Danio rerio: one gene and its partner. The protein of the gene in region 1 interacts with the protein of each later gene in a pairwise test. Links are inferred from orthologs where the notes say so. Each region holds a gene or a part of one and is shown on either strand. Other genes may lie near its edges. The genes, in order: lmtk2 and myo6b.

What was found.
Region 2: the proteins of lmtk2 (region 1) and myo6b interact in a two-hybrid assay, tested with the Homo sapiens proteins (2 studies listed by BioGRID). The link is inferred for Danio rerio from reciprocal best matches to the Homo sapiens genes LMTK2 and MYO6.

Annotation. Positions count from the first base shown.
Region 1 is NC_133178.1:66,140,788-66,156,257, reverse strand, and holds part of lmtk2 (serine/threonine-protein kinase LMTK2), read right to left. Parts: intron 7,972-15,470; coding exon of another isoform or gene 7,969-7,971; coding exon 7,841-7,968; intron 6,520-7,840; coding exon 6,369-6,519; intron 2,665-6,368; coding exon 2,588-2,664; intron 1-2,587. UniProt on the Homo sapiens protein: Phosphorylates PPP1C, phosphorylase b and CFTR.
Region 2 is NC_133192.1:38,697,507-38,713,650, forward strand, and holds the start of myo6b (myosin VIb), read right to left. Parts: upstream 10,588-16,144; 5' UTR 10,438-10,587; intron 1-10,437. UniProt on the Homo sapiens protein: Myosins are actin-based motor molecules with ATPase activity. Unconventional myosins serve in intracellular movements. Myosin 6 is a reverse-direction motor protein that moves towards the minus-end of actin filaments.

The DNA of each region.
Region 1 (15,470 bases):
TGCAAACGCTGAGATCCGGATTCGCTGCTCGTCTCCTCTTAATAAAGACGCGGCTCTAGTTGCTGGTGATTGTCCTGTCTCTACAGATTTAGTAAGTTAGCGACCAGTGCTCTTTGTTTATTCAGTTTGTTCGTATCGAACTAAGTTAACTATTGCACCGAGTGTAAACATGTTAGCACCACAACCAAACTTTAACCTCGTGTAGGGTTTTTACCGCATTTAGTGACTGGAATAACACACACGGCTTTCTGACGCTACCTGCCAAGAGCATCTAAGTTTCCGGGAAATGATGAGGGTTTTTTTCTCTCATCAAACATTGCATGAAAAATACACGCTTAGAGCAGTTCCTCAAATCAAATATCTTGTTTGTCGCGAGGGACATGACCGAATTCCCTGAATGAAAGAGCCAAACTGCAGTTAAAGTCCACCATTTAATAATTTGGCAAATAATTCGACTACAGATGTCCATGAAGGTTAAACACCATCACTTTCTCCTGTGTGTGTGTATTTTGACTCACGCGTGCCCAAATAGACACTCCCACACCCTCCCACTTTAGTTCCTCCGACACTCCCCCCTAAACAGAGCTGGACACGCCCACTTTTTTGACTTTTTCCAAAGTAGAGGTGTGAAAACACCCTGCTGAAACGAGGAGCTTTCATGGCCCTTTAACATTTATACATAAGAGTTTGTGTGTATAAACTAGGGCTGCATGATTCTGGATAAAATAACAATCAATTTGCTCAGAATGAAGATCACAATTTTCTCATGACAGATGTTAAATAAAGATTAATATGAGTAAGCTAGTCTTACTGTTATTTCTCAAACATGTGGTTAATGGAGACGATGATAACATTAGGCTTATGTTTCTAGAGAGACGGCCAGCTCAGCTCAACAGACGAGCACGTTCCCATGGCTCTGCTAAGCAGAAAAAAGCACCAGGAAACAAGGTTTTCCCTTAAGTCTTAATCTGAGTAAACACATCCACATGCAGGAGAACGTCTTCAGTGCCGTATACACACTCCCTCGCTCACGTCAAACTCTGGCCCCCCGGGGGCCGATAGCATAGAGATCAAAGCAAGCACCAACAAGAGCACCAAATGCGGTTATTTAAGATTAATCCTCGAGAGAAACCGCACGTTTCTCCTTCACAAATACTTCTGAAGTCAACGCTTGCTTTCACACACTGTTGCACAATACACTACCTGACAAAAGTCTTGTCACCTATCCAGGGTTTTAGAAACAAGCAATAATTTGACTTCTAGTTGATCATGTGGTGTCAGAAGTGTCTTATATGAATGGCGAAGGCCTCTAGATTTTGCTTATTTGAGCACAATAAAATCTGATCATGTCTTGATTATTAATGATTTGATTAGGACAATAAGGTCTGACTCTGCTCAGACTAAAGTCTCGTCCCTGAACAGAAATAATGTCCAGTATAGAATATAAAGTCCTGCTGCAGTGGAGACAGAATGAATATTGTGTCTGACTCCATCATGAGCTTGGAGGACTGCATCCATACATCTCTGACATGACTGACATCACTGATTAATAAAGTCATCTGGAATGAAGAACAAAGCCTTCAGCAGGACTCCCAGAGCTCATCAAGACTCTTTGTGTTCATCTTTAACACCCCCTCCTCCATCTTACCCTAGTCATGCTCAATAATGTTCATATCTGTTGACTGGGTTGGCCAATCTTGCAGCTGCTTGACCTTCTCTGCTTTCAGGAGCTTTGATGTGGAGGCTGAAGTATGAGAAGGAGCGCTATCCTGCTGGAGAATTGTCCCTCTGCTGTGGTTTGTAATGTAATGGGCAGCACAGATGTCTTGATACCTCAGGCTGTTGATGTTGCAGATCTCTCGCACGCCCCCATACTGAATGTAACCCCAAACCATGAGTTCTCCTTCACCAAACTTGACTGATTTCTATGAGAATATTGGTCCATGCGGGTTCGAGTAGGTCATCTGTAGTAGGCTTTTGTCAGGTAGTGTATATCACAAAATTATTGTTATCGTGATAAACATAAGCAATAAACATATCACATTGACTCATGACATTTATTCAAAGCATTTGTTGTTTACATAAATTTAACCAATCAGTTGGGGCCTTGCTATATTTAGCCCCACCTCCTTAGAAGTTGCTGTTCTGCTATTGGCTAGAGCGCTGAAGCCAGAGCTGAAAACAAACACTAATAAGTCGTGACGAGAGAGGAAAAAGACAACAGCCAATCAGAGTCAGAATATCTGCGCAGTTTTCACTCATTCAGTGTGCTTAAATGACTAAATATTTGCATCTTAAAACGTTTTTTAGTCTGAATTAAAAATAATTAGACCTAAAATATATATTTGACCTGTTTATTTTATTATTAAAAATGTATTTATTTAAAATAAAAAAAAAACATAGCTAATAAAAAAAGCATTTTATTTTTGGGAAATGTTGCATCGTAAGAAACACCGTTATCGCACTACTCAACAACGTCACATGTTTTTTCAATATCCTGCAGCTTTAAAGTCTATCATTATACCATCACGCTTTTGTTGTGCACAGTGTAAACAGAGGAAACAGAGTGTAAACAGAGGAGATTTACCTTTCCAAACCAGCCGTTCCCGATCTCCTGAATGTAACTGAGAGAGTGTCGTGCCACGTGAGGACCGGAAGAGACGTCTAACATGAAAGAAAAACACAACCGTCAAACACAGAGGACAGCCTTCAGTAAATCTCACATTTTACAATGAGCCACTGCCATTGCCGATGTTATAATATTACAGCTATTGTTCCGTTTTACTGGTGCATTGTTGATCTGTAGGTTAATGGGAGGACTAAAAATAAAAAGTGCACCAATGTTCTTCAATGTCTATTTTTGCAATATTTTCGAATATATAAACGCACTGTTGAGAAGACTTCTTATGGAACATTAGTTAAAATGTAGCATCCCCAGTAAGCATGGGCCGGTATAAGATTCTGGTGGTATTCTGGTCACTGCTCTAAAACATGCTCTTCTTAAAAGTCTGGCTAAAAAACAACAGCTGCTACTGTAGAGATTCCAGTTGTGTTATTTTTTGGTATTTATCTTCAGGAGATCACTGAAGCCTTCTATTATGCTATCATAATGATCTGATGTGGCAATAAGATCGTAACAGTACTGTGCATTTACAAAGTGGCCATATTCATTGATGTAAACACACCAACATTAACATTAGAGCTGCACGATTCTGGCTAAAATGAGAATCGCGATTTTTTTTGCTTAAAATAAAGATCACGATTCTGTATATGTAGAATAAAGGTATGGTAAAAACAAACATATGGCACAACATCGATAATAATATAACATGTAGGTCTACTGGTTTCTATAAACGATTCTTTTCTACTTATAATAATTCTGATGTTGAATTATTATGTTTGAGATATATGCTTGCAATCTGTCATATTAGACAATTTAATTCACTGGTAAAATCAGACATTTGTCATTATCAGATTATATTCAACAATATATAAGCTAGAGTAGTTATACTGACATTGTAAACATTTATTTTCATGCACAACTGTGTGTTCGCTATGAAAGAAAAGACATATCAAATGCTTGTCGTAATCATAACTCTAAAATGCGATACGATCATTTAAATGAAGTGCACACTTTCAGTTTCATTCTGACTGCTAAGTGATGTTCATACTTCACGCGCAGCTCCTAAACGATCACTCTGTGCCACAAACTGAATATTATTAACAACTGTATTAGCTGTTACTCGCAACATATGCAGGTTCTGTTCACTAAAGTAGACGCGCGCGCGCTCTTTCTGTGACAACAGCTTGCGGTCAGCAGCTCACGTCACGTGTGATTTCCTGATCGCGAAAACATCATTATATGAAGACAAAAATGACATTTTTAGGTAAATTATACCTTATAAATACAGTATGAGACTCATTCAACATCATTTGGAGGTGTCAATGTCACTAAACAACGTATGTGAAACAATGAAAAGACTCGTGCAGCCGCGTTTTCTTCTCTCCTGAACTTGAAAACATGATTGGCAGAATCGTAGAAATGCTGGATAAAGATCGTCTAGGGCAGGGGTCTCAAACTCGCGGCCCGCGGGCCATTTGCGGCCCTCAGTGCAATATTTTGTGGCCCGCGCCGACCGCTGTACTCTGACAGAATCAGCGGAGCGGGGAGAGAGAGCGCTCCCCGCTCCGCTGATTCTATCCGTACACAGCGCGCTTGTCACTCAATGCACGTTGTCGCGCGCGTTCTGATCAGCTGTGTTGTCGCGCGCGTACTCAAGAGCGGTGTTATGGCGCGCCTACTGAAGGGCGGGATCGAGGGTGTGTCGCGTCGCGGGGGCACTTTTGATCATTTTGGAAGGGCACTTGAGCCCTATGTGTGCACGTGCCTGCCCTCCATCTTATATATATTATCAGCCTGATCTCACGAGAAAACGTAAGTATTTTACGTTTTGCCAGTTTAGTGGCTAATTCGTACGAATTCGTATGAGTTCAGTCGTACGAAATGGTTACGATTTTTAAAAGGAGGCGTGGCACCTAACCCCACCCCTAACCCCAACCGTCATTGGGGGATGAGCAAATCGTACTAAATTGTACGAATTAGATCGTACGAATTCATACGAATTAGCCACTAAATGAAAAAGTTACGAATTGCCGTGAGATTGTGTTGATATTATAGGTAGATACAGACTGGTACAGACTGATGTGACTGGAGTGGGGTGGGGGTGTTTTATTTATACATATATACGCTTTTTTTAGGTGAGGGAATGGAAGTTTTGAGTGAGTTCCCCCATTTTTTTCCCTAGGACTTCAATAAGTCAAAGTACAGGTCTAGACTTAATGATGATCATCTTCAAGCCATACTGAGGGTCTCAACTGCTTCCGCTCTAAAGCCAAATGTGGTTCAGATTTGTGAGAAGAAGCGCTGTCAAGTCTCTGGCAGCAAGAAGTAGGCAAAAGATGCCATGTTCAGAAGAACTGTTCATAATCTTCACTCAATGTTCTGTTAATGTTCAGGACACTTCATGTTCAGAAGAAATAATTAAAACTGTTAATAATGACATTTGAGGACTTTTTTTTGTGGAATCCCTTATGCGGCCCAGCCTCACCCAGACTTTGCCTCCTGCGGCCCCCAGGTAAATTGAGTTTGAGACCCCTGGTCTAGGGGGTGGAATCGAGATCGCCATCTTTTATCGATTAATTGTGCAGCTCTAATTAACATTATAGCAGACACTGTAAAAAGCCCATTCCCAGCCACTAGACTTTTCTGACAGGGTATTTCAGTGTCATCGAGTGTCAGAATGTTGTGGGACTGCAGTACAGAAGTTATGATCGGGGATTATAGATCGCGAAAGTTTTTATTTTAGCGTTTTTTTTTTTAAAGCATGACGGTAAAACACGAACGCGGTTATGAATGTATTAAAACATGTGTTTGTTTGTTGTAAAAATTGGTAATAATGACAAAAAAAAATACTAATTAGTGGATCTCCTTACTTCCGGGCGCAGCTGGAGCTAGTGTATTCTGGGAAATTTTTCCTACCCCTTGGTTTCGAGTGTGGTGTTGGAAAAATCTTCATTTGAAGGGGTGTATACGCCTTGCCCTTAGCCCTACGCCTTCAAGCTAAAGAGAATTAGGACACCACTACCCCTTCACGGGCACACACAAAACGAGGGGTAAGAGTAAGGGGAAGGGCTAAGGCACAGGTGTCAAACTCAGTTCCAAAAGGGCCGCAGCTCTGCACAGTTTAGTTCCAACCCCAATTAAAAACACCTGATCAAACTAATTGAGTCCTTCAGGCTTGTTTGAAACCTACAGGTAAGTGTGTTGGAGCAGTGCAGGGCTTCGGCCCTCCAGGAATTGAGTTTGACACCCCTGGGCTAAGGGGTAGAATTGAGATTGGGCCTTTATCCCTCATTGAACACAATATATTTGGTTTTAAGACACATTTAAAGTATATTGGAGCAGTAAACATGTCAGGCTGAATAACTAAAGCAAATCATTGACTTCTGCTGTCTTCATTAGTTTCAGAAACACTTTACATCTTGAAAAGGCATCTCTGAAGTCACGTCCAAAGTCACTTAAATCCCCTTTCTTCCCCATTCTGATGCTCAGTTTGAACTGCAGCAGATCGTCTTGACCATGTCTACATGCCTAAATGCATTGAGCGGCTGCCATGTGATGGGCTGATTGGAAATTTGCGTTAGCGATCGGTTGGAAAGGTGTACCTAATAAAGCGGCCGGTGAGTGTATATTTACAGAACCGGTATAACAGTACAACTTAGCAGTTTTAAAACCTTGCCAAACCTTGAAACAGGTTATCATCCCATGCCTAAACCCCAGTCTTTCACAGTGTGCATGTGTTGCTGACCTGTAATGCGGGGCAGCTGGAGGTGTGGGGGTCCGGGCAGGTGCACAGGGGGAACAGCGAGTGTGTAAACCTCAGCGGGCGACTGCATAGACGGGGTGTCCTCCGCCGGCGGCGTGAAATCAACCTCATCTTCAAAGTGGTCTTCAAACTCCTGACAGATCACACACACAAGACATTATTATTGAAATGATCTGCCCTAATCTAAATGAGGCACTAACATGACTAAAGCCTGGTTTATACTTCTGCGTCATGTGACTTGTGTAACCCACGGCTCATGCAACGCTGTGCATTTATACTTCTGCTGCTGTCTCTGTTGGTCTGCATTAACACTTCCGAAACACAAGTGGGCAGCGAGGTGTAAATGTTCCTCTGTGTCGAGTTTCTTCGCTGCTGTTTTGTTTTCCTGAACACTTCCTGGATGTACAAGTGACTCAAACTCGCTCATTTTGAGGCAGGAACCGGCGGACGTGCAACAACTTTAACAAGAGGTAAACACAAAACAAAACTTTCCATTTGGAGCTCCTTCACGGGACTCCACACTTGTAAACAATCGCTTCATCAGGCTCGCACCATTCACGCGGCTCTCGGTCCCGCCCAGACTCGTCAGCGCTCCCAAGCCAACCAATCACAGAGCTTGTGCTACACGTCGTTGTGACATGTAGTTACAATTTTTTAGAGGTGCACATCAGCGCCGCCGCTGGCCACGGCGAAGGGCTATGCGTCAGCGCCGTAGCATACGCCAGCGTTTGACGCAGAAGTATATATCAGCCTTAAGATGTTCATATGAGCTGCTTTCAGAAAGCTCCTTTCATGTTTAACATGTTCAATTCACGTCACCACACTATCCATTGTTTCATGTCATTTCAACGGTTTCGTTTTTCGACTTTCCTTCAGGAACATTTGAGTCATGCCCCCGAGACAAACTCTGAGCTATCGGATGCAGAGCTGGGTAGTAACCAATTACTTCGTTACATTTACTTGAGTAAAATTAATGGGTAACATGTACTTTTTCAGTACAATAAAAAATGTGTTCTTTCACTCAAGTAAATTATTAGAGAAAAATCAGTACTCGTACTTCTCTACACTAGGTGGCGTTCCTCCATTACTGTATATATATGTATATACACATACACACACAAACTTTTTTACTCTTACTCGAGTAACTTTTACAAAAACAGCTGTGTGTGCAAGGATTCTCCTATTGCAATACGCAGTTAAAAGTCCTACATGACTGTAATAGTTTGCATTAGGGTGTTTACATGTCTCTACTGCACTACAATAATGCCACTAAAACAGGAATACTAATACTTAATAATACTAATCTTAATATGATTTGTTTTTACTACATATATGACTTTAGCTGGATTAAGGTCATCAAAATTCTGTTTACATGGTCGACTCTTAACCAGTGTTGTCTTAATGGTACTGAAATAAGAGTATTGTTGTCCATGTAAACGCAGCCATTGACTCACCTTAAAGTTGATCTCTTGCTCTTTGCAGCAGGAAGCACAGTTGAGCAGCAGGACCACGAGGGCCAGCGTCACGGCCAGAGACAGCAGCAGCGGGATGCTCAGAGACACATCCACATATCCGGCAGCCTCTGCTGAACACACACACACACACACACACACACACACACACACACATGATTAGAGCTCAGATGCTGACCGAGAGATGATCTCTCAGAGGGAATCCCTCCTGTGCTGCGCAGCATTATTTGACATGCACACACGTTCGTTCATTCATTGAGTCAGTGCTGAGCTGTGCTTCAGGACATGGATCTGCTTTCTGGAGGAACGGCACAGCAGGACAGCACCGAATGATTATAATGAGAGTAATTACTTTTGACACTTCACACACAGAGATACACTAAATAAATAGCTCCAAACTGAAGGAATGGGTCATTATAGAAAATAAAAATCACTTTGAAAAGATGTAAATGTACAATATTAAATCTTTTTAAGGTGGCGGTTAAGGTGGAACAGTCTTTATAAAAAATAGGGATGCACCAGAATTAAAAATTCCTGGCCAAAACCAAAAATTTTAGATGCTCTTGACCAAAAAACACTTTCTGGTGTGATCAGTAGCGGCCCTTTGGTAACTTGCGGGGTCCTACACACCTTGCAGAGTGCGCATATAGGGCAGATCGATACTGACTCAGGCCTCGTTTACACTAATGCATTTTTGTTTTAAAACGCATACGTTTTGCTACTGTTACGCCATCCGTCCACACTACGCCGGAGTTCTCGAGCGCAGAAAATGGAGCTTTTCAAAAACGCTGGCTTTATTCTGAAACGCTGCTGCTCCAACTCAGTGTGGATGAGGGAAAACGGAGACATCTGAAAACGGAGGCGGGGCTGCTGAGATTCGCTACCTGATTGGGGCTTTTGTGTCATTGCGTATCCTTCCCTTATTCGTCAAGCCCCTATCACATGACTATAACACATGGCTTCAACGCTACCGGAAGACAGTACTGTAAACAACAACATGGACACAGAAATGGGAGCGTTGTTTGCACTATTGTCTGTTTTAGGCGCCATTGTGCAGTTATTCATTTGTTACGTTTAGTAACTCGACCTCGTCGTCTGTCCACAATAATACCTCTCTTGCTTTCTTTGCCATCGCGTTCATTGTTCAACCGGCGTTTGTTGACTAACAATAACCAAATGCCGAGCGAGACGCATGTTTTCTGTTTATACTAGAACGCTCATGCCCAGAGTGCGCGAATGGTCACGTGATATACATTTTTGGTGGCGTAGTGTGGATGCACATATGTTCAGAAATGCTAGGTGAAACGCTAGTATGAACGCAGATCGTTTTTGATCTAAAACGCCATTTTAAAACTAAAACGCACTAGTGTAAACGGAGCATGAAACTACATCATATTATATGCCAAATTCAAACTGCAGGGTTTTTAAAGTTGTTGCATCACAGATGTTTTCACACCGCATGACTTTCTGGGCTAGCGTTCAGTCGCTGCTTTGTTTACCAATGTTTATCCAATGTTTCAATTAATTTCGGGTGTTTCCGTTTTCGTTTTTTAACTTTAACTGCAGTTTTTCAGTTTCACTTTCATTCAGGAACATTTCAGTCATGCCCCCGTGACAAACTCTGAGCTATCGGATGAGAGTATGAAGACTGATAGGAGTGCGCTGTTTTAAAGTTTGATAGCACACGCAGAAAAAATCATTTGAAAAATAGTTGTAAATGTACAATATAAAACCTTTTAAGGTGGAACTGTCTTCATAAAAAAATTGGGACGCAGCAGAATTCAAAATTCTGGTCAAAAACAAAAACTTTTAGATTTTATTGACCAAAAAACACTTTCCAGTGCGATCGGTAGGGGGCCTTTCATAACTTGCAGGCAGTGGTGGAATGAGCAGTGAAAAATCACACTCAAGTAAAAGTACCATTACCTGCTTAAAAACGTAGTGCAAGTGGAGTAAAAGTATCTGTTGTAAACATTAATCAAAGTATAAGTAAAACCTAGCCCAACAAATCACTAATTCTCCATTCATATCTGTCTTTGAGGGACTCTCAGATCTCTCAGTGGCCAACAAACAAACCATTTACAAGAACCTGTGGTCTGGACAGGTCCGACAGCAGTTCAGATATCAAGTGCTGAAAGGCTGGATGTGTTTCAACACCATTAACACTGCTCTCTTCAAAACAACACAAGCCCCGGGGGTCCTGAACAGTAAGACGGAATAATTGGTGGCAGGAGAGGTCAGGAACACAGAGTGCACTGCCGCAGTCACATGTGTGTGTGTGTGTTTGGCATGTTGCTAACCCAGTAGTTTGTCTTGCACAATTATCAGACAAGGATGCGCATGTATGAATAATATGCTAAGAAGGATCTTTCATCGGTGGCAGGAATGATGGCCGATAATAGTAATAAATGTGGCATCAGTAATCCAGCAGGACACCCTCAGAGCCGCATGAAACATGAGAGCGAGCAGAGTTATTCTGAACACTTGCTTATAAAAGCTGCTTTGCAGGAGACAGTCTGCTGTTGTTGTTGATTAGTATTACTGTTTACCCAGTAGAAGACCTAAGTCAGTGTCTCCCAACCCTGTTCCTGGAGGCACACCAACAGTACATATTTTGGTTGTCTCCCTCATCAATTTCTGCCAGGTTTCGGAGTCTCCTCTGATGTGCTGATCAGCTGTTTCAGGTGTTCCATTATAGCTTGCTGAATACGCTGCAATGCATTCTGGGATTTATGAGCTTCGCAAGTTCGCACAAGTCATCTCTCGATGCATCCTTGGCCAAGGGGCCAGAGCAAGTACACATCCGGGAATTTCATCTGTACTTTGTGAACTTTGAATTGGAACAGTACTTTGGCGACGGTTGATGACGTTTCACGAGGACACAAGAACGCAAGTACAGACAAGAACGCATATTGAGAAACAGCCCAGGACTTCTCCTTCTCTTCCCCCGACAACACCACGTGACAAGCTCAAAACATTATGCAATTCTGAGCGTGCCTTTTCTGCCACTGGCCATCAGAATGTTACTCTAAAAGGGTCACAATGTATTTATTTACGTTTTTTTTGGGCACAAATTATATCAAATTATACCAAATGAAATTCGTTCCAAATATATAACTTCTCTGACAAAATAGATAAGGACTAACCACAATGAACAGAGGCTCTATTTTTGCAGTGCGGCAGAAAACTCCTTACGTGTGATCATTTGGATTGAGAGTTTCCATCCAACCACATCCTTTGCCTGTAATGTGCACCTGAACTCAGAGTCAAATGACATTATAACCCAACCTGCGTTTACAACGAGAGCTCAGGGACGTATACGAGGGACCTGTTGCTAGGCAAATTACTCCAACATAGGCGTACCATTACTGTAAAGCGCCAGGAGATTTCATAGAAAAACATCCACCCTGCCAAGCCATGACATTACATGCATTATACTGTCTGTGGGTCGAATATATGCATGTTCAATCACCTCACAGCAAGAAGGTGGCTGGTTCGAGCCTCAGCTGGCTCAGTTGGCATTTCTGTGTGGAGTTTGCATGTTCTCCCTGTGTTGGCGTGGGTTTTTATCCGGTTTCCCCCACAGTCCAAACACATGCGCTATAGGGGAATTGGTGAACAAACCGGGCGCAGTGCATGTGTGTGAATGAGTGTGTATGGGTGTTTGTCAGAGATGGGTGGCAGCCGGAAGGGCATTCACTGTGCTGGAATAGTTGGTGGTTCATTCCGCTGTGGTCCCTGATTAATAAAGGAACCAAGCCAAAAAATAAAATATCATTAATCAAAGCAACACCGCATATTTTTCCAGTATCGTGCAGCCCCAAAGCATCATACTATCTAGCCGACAACTTGATAACATAAGTGTTATCACAATGTCAGATATCATTTTAACAAGTATGACAATTTATTTGCGCTGAGAGTTCCACGAAGTTGCCTCATTTTCACGTTTCTTTAGAGGCTGTTCACAAGTTCATAAATAAACCTAAAACTTTCCAACAGAAAGGAGGTCAGAGGTTTAATAATTAACAAAAAATGGTGGCAGTCCAGGGCAAGAGTGAATCGCATTACATATTTCTCAAGTTACAGAGTAAATCAATAACAAGGTTGCATAATGTGCAATTAAAATGAAAGAAACGAAGGTTAAAGTGTCAATGCACCAGCTTAGAGCAAGCCAGAGCATCACGTCGTGCATTCCTACTCAATGCCATGTCAGCAAAGAAGGTGATAAACATGGCAAAAACAATCCAATAAACATAAGACAACTGACTAATAAACCTAATAATTCAGATCAGATTTGTAAAGTTAATATATGACACGTTATAAACCTGGTAAAACTCTTCATATCTCTTTAAGTGAGTTAACCTCGTAATAAATGACTTCATTAAATGAGGGAAAGTCCAATAAAAGAGGTTTTACAGTAAGAGGAATGTTGAGTTGGGTCTACACGTTTCAAGGGATAGTTCACTCAGAAATGAATAAACGAATAAATAAAAAGCGATTGGACAACATTCACCAATAACTGCTTGACCAGGCTGTGGATTAAAGCTAATAAAATTGGAAATTTTGTTGAATTTCTTACACTGATCAATCGTTTTGCTTCAAAAGACTTCAGTGTGTCATCAGGAGCCATGGCTATTGATTTGGACACTTTATACGTTTTATTTTCAATCGAAAAAAATCGGTCACTATTTGCAGCCATTATAGGAAACACCATAGATTCAGCTCAAAATCTGCTTTAATGTTCTACTGAAAAAAAAAAAACTAAATCGCATACATTTAGCATGACCTGAGAGTAAATTAACAGGAATTTTTCCTTTTTGGGTGAACCATCATTGGTCAGTCTTGAGTGTCCAACACGACTGGTAAGAATCACTTGGCAAATCTGGTCAAAGATTAATTATTTCTAATACAAAATAACCCAATATAAATCTCACTGGCCACTTTATTAGGTACACCTTACAAGTAAAGTGTTGGACTCCCTTTTGCCTTCAGAACTGCCGTAATCCTTCGTGGCGTAGATTCAGCAAGCTACTGGAAATATTCCTCAGAGATTTTGCTCCATATTGTCATGATAGCATCATACAGTTGCTGCAGATTTGTCGGCTGCACATCCATGATGCCAATCTCCCGTTCCACCACATCCCAAAGCTGCTCTATTGGGTTGAGCTCTGGTGACTGTGGAGGCCATTTGAGTGCAGTGAACTCATTGTCATGTTCACCAGTCTGAGATGATTAAGCTTTATGACATGCTGCGTTATCCTGCTGGAAGTAGCCATCAGAAGATGGACACACTGTGCTCATAAAGGGATGGACATGGTCAGCAGCAATACTCAGGTAGGCTGTGGCGTTGATGCTTAATTGGTACTAATGGACCCAAAGAAAATCTGACCCACACCATTACACCACCACCAGCCTGAACCGCTGATACAAGGCAGGATGATCCATGCTTTCATGCTGTTGAGGCCCAATTGTGAGTCGAGCATCCGAATGTGTCAGCAGAAATGGAGACTCATCAGAGCAGCAACGTTTCTCCAATCTTCTATTGTCCAGTTTTGGTGAGTCTGTGTGAATTGTAGCCTCAGTTTCCTGTTCTTAGCTGACAGGAGCGGCACCCGGTGTGCTCTTCTGCTGCTGTAGCCCATCCGCCTCAAGGTTGGACGTGTTGTGTGTTCAGAGATGCTCTTCTGCAGAGCTCGGTTGTAACGAGTGCTTATTTGAGTTACTGTTGCCTTTCTATCAGCTAGTACCAGTTTGGCCATTTTCCTCTGACTTCAACAAGGCATTTGAGCCCACAGAACTGCCGCTCACTGGATATTTTCTCTTATTCAGACCATTCTCTATAAACCCTCTGTAGCTGCTACGTGATTGGCTGATTAGTAATTTGCATTAACGAGCAGTTGGACAGGTGTACCTAATAAAGTGGCCAGTGAGCATACATTTACGTATATGTGACACACACACACACACACACACACACACACACACACACACACACACACACACACACACACACACACAAAAACAAAGCTACACAGAACAATTTTGTTAAATATAGATATTCACATTCATATCATATTTATATATTTACATCTATATATATATATATAATCTCCAAATAAACATTTTCTTAATTATATGCATGCACGTTTGTATTTATATATGCATGATAAATAAATATGCACAGTAAGCAAATATCTTATGTCAAAACAAACTTTTATTGTGGATGCAATTAATTAAGATTAATCTTTGCCCAGGACTACTTAAAAAGCATTTAAATATATGTGTCAGGGTGTATTTCATGCAGTTTATTATTCATCCATGTATTCCGTTTATTATTTAGCATGTGTGCGTAAAACACATCCCTGTTTGAGCTCGGTAGCTGCAGCTGTAAGTGTTTGAGAGATGTGTTGACCATTAGACTGAAGCCGGACTGATGACGAGCAGCGGGCAGCAGCAGCACAATCGCCTGCCCATTTGTTCTTCTTATCTGAGTCATGAATTTATATCATGACTTGGCAAGCGGCACGAATTATTCAACTGCTTCTCAGGCCAATAAACACCGAGCTGTCAGCTCTTATTTCGGCTCTCTTGCATAATGAAGTGATGTTCTTCACACAGCAGTGGAGATGACCCAATTGGACACGGTGTTGTTTTCCCGATTTGGCATTTGTGTGGACAGATTCAGTTGGAGTTTTAAAACGGTCCACTTGAAGACACTACAAGGCCAAAAAAAAAAGCTTTTTTTTCTGTTTTCTCATATACAGCGAGGAATATATGCAGGGCTCGAAATTGCGACCATTTTGGTCGCATATGCGCCCGAAAATTAATCTATGCGACCTAATAATATATTTTGGCGCATTAGTGCGACTGCAGATAATGGTTGTAGTGCGACCTGTTTTGATTTTTTGTAAAAACGTGCTGAATCGCTCTTCCCTGCCGCTATATTGGTTCATATTAGCTGTCAGTCACTCAAGGTATTCCGCTGTCAGATGACAGGGAAGGAGCTTTAATGACCACGGGAAATACAAACGGCTGAAGAATGAAAACTTAAAGCATGCAGGTTTGCAAACCCCACCTAAAGTTGAGGGCGCAGATGAGAGCGATCATGACACGTGATGGATATCTGCCAGCTGAGATCAATCGAGTACGTGCTTTTCGGAGAAAGCGCCCGAATCTCGATGCGTTGCATTCACTGCGTGTTCAGCGCAAATGTCCGCTTAAAGTCAAATCTAATACTGTACATATCATCATCAAAGAAGCTCGCCTTTACTAAGTTTACACTGAAACTGCGGCTCATCATAACAAACAGCGGTTTTGCGCCGGTGGTCACAGCAAGAATCCTGCTCTGCCTGCTCATAAATTGGGTCGGCTGAATCGCCTGCTTTCCACTAACAGAAAAATAAGATCAGCTCAGACTGAATCTTTAAATTGACACAAACTGAAACCAAAACTTTTAAAGAGTGATAGAAGTGAGACTTTACTTTTTTTTTTCGTCTATTCTTTTTTGAGGTGTATATTATTTTTTATTTATTTACTGATGACTGCTTTGCAGCTTTCAGCATTGAATTGAATTATTTATTAAATTGACATTCATATAAAACAGCACAAAATA
Region 2 (16,144 bases), on another chromosome or scaffold:
TTTTTTCATTCGTTTCTTTTATTAAATAAACATTCTTTCTTTTTAGGCCAAAGATATTTAGGCTGACTCCTCATTACCATGTGCTAGAGCTAGCCATTAACTAGGACACTGTTCCTGCAGTGTAGTTTACTGCAACAAGGAATGTCAGAGAATTTGGCAATTTTTGGTGTGTAAATGAAGGGCAGAGTTTCAGCAGTACTGATTTCTCATGATCATGGTGTTTTCAGCATCTGTTGGCTCATTATATAAGAACAAGAACTCCTCCAAAGCTGCTGTGACAGTTACTTCACAGATACTTTGCTTTGTTTTGTTTTTTGAGGAAACCATTTCACATTTAACATCAAAAGTTTAGTTTAAGAAAATGCTGAAAGCAAATCAAACACTTTCATAGTTTCTAAAAATATCATTGATTTTAATCAATAAATTGTAACCAAGACAAAAACATGAAATTTGAAATGAAATTAAAATGTAGAGGCAGCTGGCTCAACAAGACAAGCTGTGAAAACAAGACAAGTGGGGGAAAAAAAGGTCTACGGGCAGGTTTTTCGAAAGAAGAACTTTGTTTAGAAATTTTGAACGTTTTGACTGCAAAATTAAAAAGAAAAGAAAAAACATGTGAAATTCAACACTTTTTACGTAAAAAAGTAGGTGTTCGACAGTGTAATGGAAATTCACACACCATTTACTCTCCCTCAAGTGGTTCTAAATTCTGTCACACAAAATAATTTATTTAGCACAGGGGTCTCAAACTGCCGGCCCACCTCCTCCCTCCAGCCCGCAACTGCCGTCAAAATTATAACGAGATTTTGCCCGCCACCTAGTCGATATTTAAAGTACTGCATTCTGATTAGTTTTACTTCCATTTTCTCTCAGTTTACAGCCGAGAGTAACACACATGCATTTTAATTCTGGGGCTGATTTTTATAAATATTTATGGGTCGTTTATTATTAGTTTTTACCACTTTTTTTGTTTGTTGTACAAACACGTCTTCATGGCTTACACATTATGCTGGTGGTTTAACAAACAAGATTATTTTCTAATATTCCATTTAAATGGTCTCATTTAATAGATTTTCCTCATGCTTTTTTACAAAAACTATGTACATTAGTAAAATTGTACTGCTGGTTGAATTAAACTAGTTAAAGTAAATGTGAACATACTTTCCCCTCTTTGTTGTAGTTTTACAAAGAAAGAAAGATATTGAGAAGAACAATCGCCAGTTAAGTCAATTATGTTTCCCAAACTGCTTTCTGCTGTTCTTATGCTACTGGGACAATACAATTGATTGGGACGGAATAATAATTATTATGTCTATTATTTGTAGTATTTTATAGCAATTTAAACTAGCTTTTTGTTTCTTTTTATACATATTAACTGCCTATAGTCTGTAAAAGAATGACTGAGTGCATGTCTAATGCTTGGCCATACACACAGCAACCACAGATATATTACAGCAGCTGATGTGTGAGCCGATAAACTTGCTGATTTGCATTATCACTGGTGGCAGGTAATGCTTGAAATATAAAGTCATGTCTGTTGTCCTAAGATGCATCAATTATCTCAATTATCCTTTTTTTGTCTTGAACTTGAATGTTAAAACAGCCCCTCCGATGAATTATCAGTCACTGAAATGGTCCCCGCCAATTTGAGTCTCTTGATTTAGCAGAAAGCATGAAACCACTGAGCTCCATTGTATAACAAATACTATGGAAGTCAGTGCTTACAAGTCTTTAACTTTCCTCAAAATATCTTCTTTTTTACAGAAGAAAGAACTTCAAACTGGTTTGAAACAAGTGAAGGATGAGTAAATAATCACAGAACTTTGTTTTCCTTTATAATGTGTGAATTTCTATGAATGACCCTTAACATGGTCATTTTAGGGACACATCTACGGACTCTTTTCACAAGACTGTTATGACACATTTAATGGTCATTATAATCTTAAATCCTTGAATGTTTTAAATATTTAGATTTTTTTTTTAAACTTATTTACATTGATATGCATTTATGACTGTATTATATCATCTTTTACGTCAAATTACAAAAAAAATGTATGTAAAGCTTAGGCGAGGTGTTTCCAATGCAGTGTCTATGGGGCAGAGAGTAAACATGTCGTTATTCTCTCCTCTGGCGACAATTATCAGTCTCGCACAATTTTTTCCCTTTTTCTGAAAGTCTTGATAACACCATCAAGGCATTTGTATTTTATTATTTCAGCAAATAGGATTGTAAAAAAAAAAGAAATCTTGTACTTTCCCATTTACTGTGCTCTAAGTTACCCAACTATGACGACATCAATGCTGAGAAACCCAGAAATGTGAAAAGGGTCTATTACGTTATTTGTGTAAAAAATTCACATTTGAAAGCATTTTGAAAGACGTGTCCAAATTTCATGTGATACAATCATTTAGATTTTCCAAAATTTCAATAAATTACAATGGTCGGCAGCTGGTGTACAAAATTATGGTCCCATGGTTAATCATTATGTAAACTGAATAGCCCTATCAGTTCGACAAAAGGAAGTGTAATGGAAAAGAAGAAAAAATAAACATACACAGATAAGCAAGACCTGTAGTAGATATCAGAGTAAACTGTAGAGCAACCTAGATCCAGATTTAACGTCACAGATCTTTCCACAGTTATGTTTTTTTTTTTCTTCTAAATAACATCTGTTACATCAGTTATTGCACTATATGAACCACACCATAGCATGCTACTAGCAAAACATTTCGTTTTCATAAAAGCTTTGTACTAATTGTGTCACAATGATGGAGCTGCAATAAAACGTTTTATTGTTATTACTATGCAGATGTCCATTGGAGGAGAAAGGCTTTGTTTGTTCACAATGCCTGAGACATCGAAACCATGGATTTGCAGATAAAAGGAAAAATAAAAGTAGGACCTTTGGACCAAAATTGCCTTGCAACTCCTAAGCACTGTGTCTAGCAAGGTGCAAAAACATGTAACGGTAAGCAAATAAATAAATGAACAATGGGCTAATACAAAAAAAATAAAACTTAAAACAAAGGAAACGCAAAAATGAAAAAATATATACTAATAAATTATTAATGATGAAATAATAATAATAATTATAATAAATAATAATAGTAATAATAATAATATAGGCTAATAAATAGGTAAATAAATGAAGTAACTAATTAAAACAAGCTATACAAAAAAGGTTGATAAAACGTACAATTAAAAAAGAATGATCAAATTCACAAATAAAATAATAATCATAATAATAATTATCAAAATAATAATAATAACAATAATAACAATAACAACAACAACAAACAAATAAATAAATGTCTTATACATAAATAAATCTACACAAAATATACAAAAAAATTGTCTAATAAAACTTAAAATTCAAATATGATAAAATTCACAAATTATTATTATTAATATTATTAATACAAGCTAATAACTAAAAGTAAACATCAATTGCTTAAACACAACAAAATATACAAAGAAATAGGCTCATTCAACTTTAAAACAAATATGATAAAATAATAATAATAATAATAATAATAATAATAATATAGGGGCATAAATAAATAAAATAACAAAATATACAAAAATAGGCATATATTGCTTAACAAATAAAATAGAAACATGATAAAATGTACAAATAAAAAAAAAATAATAATAAAGCAAATAAATGAATAAATGGCTTTTACACAAATAAATAAAAACAAAATTTACAAAAAATTGGCTAATAAAACTTTAAAACATAAATGAATAAAAATAATAATAATAATAATAATAGTTATTATTATTATTATTATTATATAGGTTAATAACTAATAAAGTAAATAAATCAATTACTTAAAGTAAAATATACAAAAATAGGCTACTATAATTTAAAATAGAAATATGATAAAATATACAAATAAATATAATAAATCAATATAATAAATAAATAAATAACAGACCAAAAAAATAAATAAAATAAAAACAAAATGCACTTAAATAAAATAATAAAATAACTTAAATAAAATATGAATATGATCAAATATACAAATAACAACAACAACAACAAGCTAAAAAAAAATATTTAATTGAAAAATAAATGTAAAAAAATTAAAATTAAAAAGCAAGCATCCAATAATTTTAAACTCTACAAGCACTTGAAATTTACGATAAACTTGGCAATGCACGTGCGGCTGATCTACCATTTCTTCTACAAGAATAAACTGATCCAAAATACCAACAAAACTGTGAGAAACATATTCTGTGTCTGCATACTGTGACACTCAACAACACTTTCTTCTCCCACATTTTTTGGCTCATTGCACCGCATCAAATAAACACTGTTCTATCTAAAGCTCCGCAAATTTGCAGCGAGATGTTCCCAGAGAGATGAGTAATTGCACAGGCAGTAATTATGTGCGTGGCAGGACAGGCGTTGTCATAGGAGATGTTTCGGGGTCAAAGGGCTACATGAGTTTCCTGTACCACACAAAACTCCCCCTCCTTCCTCTCCTCCTGCTCTCTTTTTAGCCAGAGGATATGGAAAACAGGACGCAACAGGATGCAAAAAGGCCAGTGTGATTGGGACTTCCAAAGCCAACATTTTACTGTGCTTTTGCTGCCTTATAAATATTCAAATGAGCGTTCAAATATGCGAGAACTTGAAAAATTAAGCAAGCCAAATGTTATTAGTTAGTATGCAAGATGCTTCTAGATGGCAACTAAAACTAATGTGGATCAAACACCACAATGCTGATTATGTATAATTTATGAAAGCCATTATATTAATGATTGGTTCAGAAGCATTTGCATAATTGTGTTTCCTCAGCAGGATATTTCTGCATTATATTGCAGTGATGTCATGGTTAGAGAAACAGGGCAGCTGTTTTTTCCTATCAGGATCATGAAATGGGCTCATTTTACACTTCAACCTACAAGCTATGCTAGTATTTTTCACTAAAACTGTACTGTATCAACTAGGGCTGCACAATATACCGTTTCAGCACTGATATCGCAATGTGATCATTCGCAATAGTCACATTGCAGGATATCTGTGAGTGTATACTGATTTTAAAAGCATTCAGATTCAAGATTGTACTGTTTGAGACCCTTACTATGATTAATTTTAATAAATTATGTTTATTTTTATTATATTAAAGGGATCGAAATTGCGATTGTTTTGGTCGCATATGTGCCCAAAATTTTATCTAAAAACGTAGTCCAGCGGACGTTTCTGGAGCACGCGAAATACGTACCGGGAGGTACGTATGGCTGCATTTCATTTTTTTAATCGAACGCTACTAAGCGGTGTGACGCCGTTACCTTTCGCGCTTGCCGGCTGACCGCTTACCTCCGTGTGAAGGGCTTTCCTGCTGCAGTCAGTTTGTCCGGTCAGCTCATCGTGTGCGTCGGCGGACTTTAGATGCAGAGAGGAGGAGTTGACAAAAGGCATCCAGGATCGAGTCCGGGGAAGAGAGGTTCCAGAAACCAGGTAAGACAAAAACAGAATCCAAAAAATAAAGCGAACGAGTTCATAACTGAGGGTGAGAATGCGGTGAAATCCGAAAACGTGGTAAAAAAAAAAAAACAGACGAGGGCTTTTCTTTTTCTAGACGGCTTTTCTAAATTGTTGCTCGGGTTTAAGAAAGTAAATGGGCGAGCGGATCAATAGGTAAAACTGGTTGGGTTCAGGGAAGGAGGAGGGTGGGTCAGCCGATTGGCCGGTTGCGCGGTCAATTATTCGGTCAGTCAGACAGTGGCCTCTGGTCGGTTGACGCGAGAACAGCGCGGGCGCAAACGGCACTCGCGAGAGACGATCAAGATACGAAAAAGCGCGCACAGCGGCCTCTCGCGGATTCGCAAAAACAATAACTGCACAAATACGTACCTCCCGTGACGTATTTCGCGGTCTCCAGAAACATCCGCTGGACTACGTTTTCAGAATGAGCCTGGGTTGGACAAAGCGCGCATAAATGGTTTAAAACAGTTGTCATGTCAACTTGCTGCAGTAAACAAAGCCCACAATGCTTGCTCCACCTTTAAGCTCTTCTGATTGGCCCACTGCTCTAGCACTGAATGCGAACGGATTGGTTAATATCAGCTGCCAATCACTCATTCGATGGCTTTCTTTAGATGACAGGGAGAGCTACAACCGCAAACATGTTAAGGGCTGGAGATGAGAGGATGAAAACAACACTGACAGATTAAGTTTTATAAAACACCTAAAGTTACAAATGATGACACATCTGATTAATGATCATTTGGTGAATGTTAATTCACCGTTTACTCTTTTCAAAGAGTGGATAAAAGACATTCAGTTTAAAGTCCGCTATGAAAATGACTAAAGCATTCACCGTAAAGCCGCTGGGACTGAGTTTGCAGGTAACAGCGTTTGTCAAATCTACACATTTTAGCACAAGAGGTTCTGTTTAATTCTTCATTTAATCAACAGGATGCTGTCAGCTGTATGTAAAATGTAACACCACGTACACAATCGCAAAAGGGCTTGCATTCATTAAGATAAAACTAATATTGCAGCTCATAAAAAAACCGTATTGCTATTAAGATGACGTATGCAAATAATAAGCTATTATGTCAGTCTTATCTGTGCAATATTACACAGCACCCGTGAGAACTGCTAAGTTAACTAAGTTTAATTCATGTCAAGCAGTGCATGCAGGGCTGGTGGGCACATGCAGATGTCGTTTTGTTAGATTGTTTAGTGTTTATTTCAAATGCAGTAAGTCGGTTAATATAACATTAAAACTTGTAGTAACGGTGCTTATAATTGGTGGGTGTGACTAAATTTTGGCTGGTGCTCCTAACTTTTTAAAGTTGGGAGTACCAGTGCTACCAAGAAAAAAGGTTAATTTCGAGCCCTGTTTTACTGTACTTGAATACTGTTAGACAAGGGAAATGATAAAACACTTTATTTCAAGAGTACATTTTTCTTGATTGTATTTATAGATAGTTATGTAATAAAATACAACACATGCAGAAATGCACTGCAAATAGCACAGACCACTTCGAAAATGTATAATGTACTTGATTTTAAATGCATTAGATTTTATGGAGATGCACTCCACTACAGAATCATCCCAATCGATATATATATATATATCTTGGCGGACTTTAAACTCAATGTCTTTTATCCACTCTGAAAAGAGTAAACGGTGGATTAACATTCCACAAATGATCATTAATCAGATGTGACATCATTTGTAACTTTAGGTGTTTTTAATTACACAGCAAATACACTATATATATATATATATATATATATATATATATATATATATAGGATTTTCCAATATCGTCCAACCTAGCAGACTTCATTCTCATTTTCATTCTCATTTTCATCGCAGACTCATTTTGAATGTTACTATTGTTTTGCCATATTATTACTGCATAATATACACCATTTTCAATAGTGAAAAGAACAGAATCTCGTTAAAATATAATTTGAACCCCATTTTATTGTATTTTTACAAACCACGCTGAAAATAATGGAATTTGAATAAATGCATATGAATAAAGCAAATAGTTGATCAAATGTCAACATAAATATAAAAGCTAAGCATCATAAATATTTCTCGGCAAGTGAAAGTTTGTGCAAGTAAATGCATTTTGTGAAGTGAAGGTGTGATTTTCTGAGTGAAAGTGAGATACATTTTTCCTGCTGCATTGAAAAATGCATCAACAAGATCCAGTTTGAATAAGAAAACAATATATACACTAGGGATGCAACCGGGTTCACTATTAACTGCGATTTAATTCGTCACACCGTGTTTCTGCACTGCTGAAACTTAACTGCGCTAGTTTGTCACTGAGACTAATAACCACGCACACTAGATTAACTATGACCGAGGCTAAGGCAAGCTCATGCAAGTTCATTATTTCCACTGGAGGGACGCACACACGACGTACAGCGCTCTTGCTTTATTATTATTAGTTATTATTAATGGCGCCGATAAGAGCGATCATGTAGTAAATGTTAAATCACCAGCCAAGATCAACAGAGTGATTTTAAAGAGTGCTGAAAGAATTGGATTGGATCAGCTGTTTAATGGCCTAAATCTTGATGCGTTGCATTCACCGCAAATTTCTGCTAAATGTAAAACCTAACAATGTACACATTATCGCCCAAAGAAGCTCGCCTTTACTAAGTTTAAACTGAAACTGCGGCTCATGACAACAGTACTGCACTGGTGGTCATCTACAGAATCCTGCTCTACCCCGCTTGTATGAGCCGGCTGACTCACTGTTGTTGTTTTTTTCACACAGAGTGATGAAAATCAGAGCATAACGAGACTAAGCATTTACAATGAACAAACCGAAACCAAAACTTTTAAATAGGAGCAGAAGTGAGACTTTTCTTCCTTTCTTTTGTCCATTCTTTCTGTTTGTAAATTAACCAGCATATAAAACAATAGTGCAAAATAAACTTTTCTTACTGCAATGCTTAATTTTTTTGATGCAAACCATACATTTATTTATCATAAAGTAACAGTAGGACTTTTTATAGCAGATAACTCTCACATTCAAAGCAGCAAGAAAATGAGAAATGTTAATCATTCATTGTTAGTATTAGTGTCATCTTCGTCATCAATAATATTTTAGAATTATTAGACATTCATTTTGAAGTTATTGCGCAAATATCAATAAGTCATCTCAGCATTAGTTAGATAGTTGTTTGTGGTTTTTGTTAGTCCTAATTGATGTTGTTTTCAAATACAATAAATCCCTTAATATACAAGTTGCAGTGGTGTTTATTAATTTTTAGTGGGTGCTCCTACATTTTTTTATTTATTCTTTCTTTTATTTATTTATTGTTCTGTCATTTATTTACAGTGTAAAATTCTTTGTTTAAATGTCAAAAACATTCACTTATTTTTAAGCACAAAGAGAGAAATTTACTATTGTTCGTTTTTTATATTATTTTGTGCTTTATTAATTAGCTACTGAGCAGCAATAAATAACACTGTAAAGCAAAAGGAGTTTTTATCTTATTTTCTAAACTGGTGGGGCTTGAAATTAATAAATGCATAATAATTGTGATAACCGTGAAACCGTGATTATTTCCATGACTATAATCGTACAACCAAAATGTATAATCGTTGCATCCCTAATATACACACACACACACACACACACACATATCTGAATTTTTTTATTTATTTTTTTTTTTGGGGGGGGGGGGGGTGGATATTATACAGTATATAGTTTTTGACACTAATATGACAAGATAACAAAATGAGTTTTTGGCACCTAAAGATGCTCTGTTTACATAAGTCCAAAATTCTACAAATATATTTTAAAGGCTATATCTCTTAAATGATTATTGCAAAATTGCAACAACATATGAAATAGGTAACAATTTAGTTCAAGTACTAATTCTTACTATTAACAACTGGCTTATTGCCTGTATATTAATGAGATATTAACTGTTTGGTAGTACTTAAAATACATATTTTGCATCCCTAACCCTACCAAACACATAAAGCCAACTAAAACCTTACTATTAATAAGCAGCAAAGTAGAAGTTTGTCAAACTACAAGTCAAAATTAATGATTTATTAATAGCAAGAGTTTTACCATAAAATGAAGTGTGGCCAATGAATGAATGAATGAATGAATGAATGAATGAATGAATGAATATATGAATGAATGAATTGCAATGTAAAGTTTTGTTATTATTATTTATTTTTAAAGCTCTCACCAAAATCATTTTAAAAGCTAGCTGCAATAGCCACATTAATGTCATGCATACTGTATGTGTGCATAAATGCAAGTATAAATCGCTTTAAACGACACACATTTCGTAGAATGACCCTTGGGGGATTATAAAGGTGGAACCATTACGACGTTTAACCAGAGCAGTCGCGCATGCGCACAAACGGCAGTTTACAGTCACCTAATTCAGCGTTTAAAGCATCCATCATTCATACGATTGGAACCCAAATAACTAACGTTACCTCTGTCAATGGTTTCCACAACTTCAGAAGAAAGTTACACTCGTTATAACTGCACACATAGGATATCCTGTCGAGTTTCCATGACATACTGCCTGCCTTAACTAATTTTCTGGAAAACTTTGGTCACACACACACGCAGCTTACAAAACACCATAGAAAAAGCTCTCAAAGAAAAAAAACTAAACACAACCAAAAGCAAGATTAAGAATGAATTTAACTATCGCTGATATACATGTATTCCTAGTAGTTTGTTAACCGAACTCGTTGTCATACAACCCTGCGTTTTAAACAAAATTCTGCAAAAATAAATGACATTGCAAACATTGACATAACAAAATTCACTGTAACCATACTGAATGAACACATTCATTAGCAGCATGCTAGCGCGCCACTGTAGAAGCAATTAAACACAACTTACGCCTAACAACACCTTTAGTTGCCACAAAGCGCAGTCAAGCAATAAATAAAGTAAGCGAAGTCACTCACATTGTGTGTAAATCCGGTAAGAGCAGCTTCTTTTGAGGACAGATGAGCGACAGACTGTCCCGGTTAGCGGTGACAGATTCCCTCCTCGATGCTGAATATTCCCTTTTCCAAAGCCGCTGTCGTTCCTCTCTGTGTGTCCGGCTTCAGACTGAAGTCCACTGGAATAACAGCGACCTCAACGGTGACACAGTAGCGCTGACTGACACAGGTGGTGTCTCAATACACAGGGTCATGACTGGCAAAATAGTTTGAGTAAAAGCGGCATGCAGTAGGCGAGTGCAGTGGACTTTACATGTACGCGCTACAATGATATAAGTTACTTGACGGGCTTCACTACAAATACATGACGCACCATTATGCTGCCTAGGTAGGGCGCAAACTAATCTTTTAAGACGTAGCCGATACATTGATTGATCTAAATGACACGAATAACTGGTTGTTTACTATAAAGGTGATATAGAATATGTTTTACGAGGAATATTTTAGTTTTAATGACTAAATATATAGTATGTCATGGTAAATTTTACCAGTTCTTATCGCTCAAATCAAGCTGCTTATTAGTGTTATGTAAAAAAATAGTGTTATCATCACATAAAAACATCAAACATACTAAAACAGGTCGTCTAATATTAAAAGTTATCCCCTCAAGCACATTATTATCGTCTTGTGTACACTTTACAACCTAACGTTAAAGCTAATGTTGTTTTCATTTTGGCTAACCAAAAACCTTAAAAGAACGTTCTGGGAACTAAAAGAAGGTTAAGTTAAAACGTTCTGGTGGCTGGAATCAGTTCTTCAAGTTATAAACTGTATTATTGTACTAAAACAAGTCCCAGTTCGTTAACGTACTAGTAAAGTTTAATTCAGGATGGATAAAACTTGCTAAGGGATGAGGAGAAAGTCACAAGGTGCCTACTGGGTTGCCATAGTTACTAAAAGGCGCGCAACTGATACAAACTGAAGGCTCATTAATATTTTATTTGGCTTGTAATTCAAAACGTATAGAAGTATTCCTAAGTTGAAATCTTAAACCACATTGAAAGCAGACTTTGTGTTTGTAAATCTAATTAGGACACCTGATCTCTCACTACGTGTCGCTATATCAAATTTCTAAGCAAAAAAGTTATAACAAACAGTTTTTTTGTGTGTGTTTAAGACTCTGACAACCACTCTTCATCCCATATACGACTTCATGCTGTTGCTTTGGGGTGTTATACAGGTTAACTATAGCCTCCAGCTTGAGTTACGTATAGTCTCACAGAATATCTTGGGATGGAGACAGAGTAGGCCTAATATTCGACATCAGTTTCCCCAGAAACAGCTAAACAAGAGTTTTAAGTCATCTGGTGAGCCTGAAGAAGCTCCATTAATTAGATTTAATGCCACGCTGACTTCTGCATTTCCCAAGAGCATTGCAGACATAAAAACAAACGTGCATAAAGCATGCAAGGTGTACCAGAGCACATTTGCCAGAAGCAAAAAATATGAAAGAGTTCTTATAGCAAAATGATTATCTTAAAATAATAATTTTTTATGTAGCCTATATTACTAGCTCTAATGGGAGAACATATGAAGTAAGGGGGTTATGCCAGCTGGGACACATTATAAATAAAAACATAAAATAACCAGCATAACTAGAGTATGAATATGCTCTGAGATCAGATCTCGAGACGTAAAAATAAATCAATTTTATTTAAGTTTAAATTTTATAATTTAAATGTTTTTTTTAAATGTCAATTTCTAGACATTGAGATTTATACATCACATGAAAGTTGAATAAATTTGTTACTTTGATGTATGTTTTGTTATGATTTGGCAAGTTTTAGTAAATATCCCTACTGAAAAGAATTGCTTAAACCAGCCTGGTTTTAGCTGCCAGGCAGGTTTTAAAGTGGTTTTGGCCACTGGTTTCCAGCAATTTCCAGACTAGTCTTAGCTGGTCAGGCTGGGAGATGACCAGCTTAAACCAGCTTGACCAGCCTAGCCAGGCTGGGAGCCCAGCCAAAACCAGCTAAGTTCAGCTTAAATCTGGCTGGTCAAGCTGGTTTTACCTAGTCATCTCCCAGCCTGACCAGCTAAGACGAGTCTGGAAATTGCTGGAAACCAGCCTGGAAGTGGCCACAACCCCTCTAAAACCAGACTAGTCAACCAGCTAAAAGCAGCCAACTAGCTTAGGCTGGTTAAAGTTGTTTTTTCAGTAGGGATATCAGAAAAAAATAACTAAACATCAAGGAAAGTTGTCTTTAAATTGAGTCTATAATGCTTGCACTGTAAAAATAAATCAAGCAAAGTGATGAAAACAAATGTTTTGCTACTTTACATTATTGTTAAAATGAGCTAATCCGGTTTCATGTTTTTTTTTGTTTTTTTTTACGTTGTACAAAATGTAACTTAATAGTTGGATGCAAGCTAGACAAGTTCATTTGATTTAACTAAAAAAATAAGGCAGCAAGATTTGTTTTTACAGAGTAGTAATGTACTCTCACCGGCCACTTTATTAGGTACACCTTACTACTGTAGTACCAGGTTGGACACACTTTTGCCTTCAGAACTGCCTTAATCCTTTATGGCATAAACTCATCAAGGTACTCCTCAGATATTTTAGTCCATATTGACATGATAGCATCATAACTGCACATTCATGATGCAAATCTCCCATTCCACCACATCCCAAAGGTGCTCCATTGGATTGAGCTGGTGACTGGAGGTCATTTGAGTACTGTGAACTCATTGTTCAAGTATCAGAAGATGGGTACACTGTGGTCATAAAAGGATGGACATAGTCAGCAACAATACGGAGGAAGGCTGTGACATTGACATGATGCTCAATTGGTACTAATGGGCCAAAAGTGTGCCAAGAAAACATCCCCCACACCATAACACCACCACCAGCCTGAACCGTTGATACAAAGCAGGATGAATCCATACTTTCATGCTGTTGACGCCAAATTCTGACCCTACCATCTGAATGGCAACAGAAATCGAGACTCGTCAGACCAGACGTTTTTCCAATCTTCTATTGTCCAATTTTGGTGAGCCTGTGCTAAATTCCATCTCATTTAGCTGTTCTTAGCTGACAAGAGTGGCACCCTGTGTGGTCTTCTGCTGCTGTAGCCCATCCACCTCAAGGTTCGACGTGTGTCAGCTCAAACCAGTCTGGCCATTCTCCTCTGACCTCTGCCATCAACAAGGCATTCGCACCCACAGAACTGCCGCTCACTGGATATTTTCTCTTTTTCAGGCCATTCTCTATAAACTCTAGAGATGGCTGTGCGTAAAAATCCCAGTAGATCATCAGTTTCTGAAATATTCAGACCAGCCTGTCTGGCACCGACAACCATGTCATGTTCAAAGTCGCTTAAATCACCTTTCTTCCCTATTCCGATGGTCAATTTGAACTGCAGCAGATCGTCTTGACCATGTCTAAACGCCTAAATGCATCGAGTTGCTGCCATGTGATTGGCTGATTAGAAATTTGCGCTAATGAGCAGTTGGACAGGTGTACCTAATAAAGTGGCCAGTGAGTGTACATAACTAACATTATAGTTTTGATATACTTATGGTAGCACAAAATCAATAATAAAGAGCCATACAATAGATTTAATGCCAAAAAATATGCCTGTGCAACAAAAGTAATTAATACTATTAAAAAAACTAGTGACTCTGTGATACTAAGGTATTCATGATGTAAACATAACATTTCACTTTAATTTTATTTGTGTATAACTTTACCAAAAATACTGTTAAAAACTACAGTAAAATCTACAACATTCTACACTTGCAAGTAATTTTGGTATGTTTTATCACGAAATGAAATATATAGATATGTACTATTTGTAGTAAAAAAAAAAAAACACGATCAAGAATATGCCACCCTGACAGCGCTACTAGATTATCCAACATCCACAGACATAACAATCCTGGAATAATCTAAGAAAAGTTTTAAACAAATTCCAGTATTAAAACATTGTTAAATTGAATTAAAATGTAAAAACAAAACAAAAATAGACTCATCGGTAAATGAATTAAAAGGCTATAAGCAACAGCTTTTGTCCAGGTAAATTTGCAAAATAAACTGACTAATGACCTTGAAAATATTGTTTTATCGAAAGCTTTAATAATTGAAGCTACTTATATGCACTATAAACTCTAGAGGGTGCATTTAATAACCAAAAACAACCCAATTATAAATCAGTCACTACACATTTAATATGTTTTATGATTCAACTAATTTGATTGCTACCCATTTAAATAGCCACTACTTAAATGACTCAAATATATACAAACACATTCATATGTATTCAGCTCTTCCTGAACCTCAAACGGTAACCAATCCCTCAAAAACATTTGAGCTTAAATTACACCTCATTCCATATGCTGCTGGCCTGCTGGCAGATGGGTAATTCCACAAAGCACTGAAGTAATAACTGAGTGTGGAGTGCATGATCCACTCAAAGAGTCTCATTAGCTCTAACACTTCTGAATTAAAGGAGATAAAGCGAGTTCCTCATATGGAGAACACAGCAGGGAGCCAATCCCAAAAGAGGGGAAAGAAGGTGAGGCCTTCGCAGGTGGTCTTTTTCAAGGTTTCAAAGTTAATCAAATGATACAAGCTTTCTTTTGAACTTTGAATTTTAATGAACTGTACAGTCTTGCAGATATAGTTCATTTGCTTCAACTTCTCATATTTCACTATATTACGCACATTAACCCTTTAAAGGCTGTAACTACTGCATCTTAGCACACATATTCAGTTTGGCCAGCCAATATAATATAGACTTCACAGATGAATGGGTAATAATATAATAATAAAAGTACACACCGAACATTTCTCATATTGCAGGTCTGTTAAAATGGCATGTTTAAATGTGAAAATAAGAATGTTTAATTATATGGACGAATTTACATATATTTCTAGTACAAAAACCTGAACCTTTGATCAAGTCACATCTAGAAGTGTTAACAAACACAACCTACACATTAAGACAAAATTGTTAGCTCTAATTTCAAATAGTAAAGGCTGTTTATAGGACAGATTTTTTCAACATTTTAAACATAATAGTTTTAATAACTAATTTCTAAAAACACATATATAATATTTTACTTGTTATTTCATAAGATACTCATATTTCAGATTACATTGCAATTCATAGACTTAATTAGGCAAGTCATTGGATAACAGTGAAATGTTCTGTAGCCAATTAAGAGAAATAAATCTTAATATTATTATTTTTATTATTTTTTATTTTTTAAACTGCTTCTAATTCAGCCAAACTAAAAGAAAAAAAATCTAAAAGTGTAATAGAAAATATTGTGAAAATGTTTTTAATTAGGTAAATATCCTTTTGGAAATATTTGAAAAAGAATTAGTTTTGAGGGCTAATACTTTTGTGTTGCCCAAGAACAAGAATCGTTGTTGTTTACTAGAACACTTTTTTGTGTTAATTATGACAGACAGACTGATTTATGAAATAGAAACATGAATTATGGCAAAAAGTCTATTGACAAGTAATTGTGTTTAAAAAAAGTATGAATTCGTAATTTATTTTAACAGAAATTAGTTAAAAATGACGCCTAATAGTGATGAAGTAAAAATGTACGTTAACTATTACAAATATGAAATAAACTAGACCCAATTAAATTATTTGTAAAAATTAACGAAATACTTGTAACCCATATTTATGCAAAAAAATAAAAGAAATAAAAA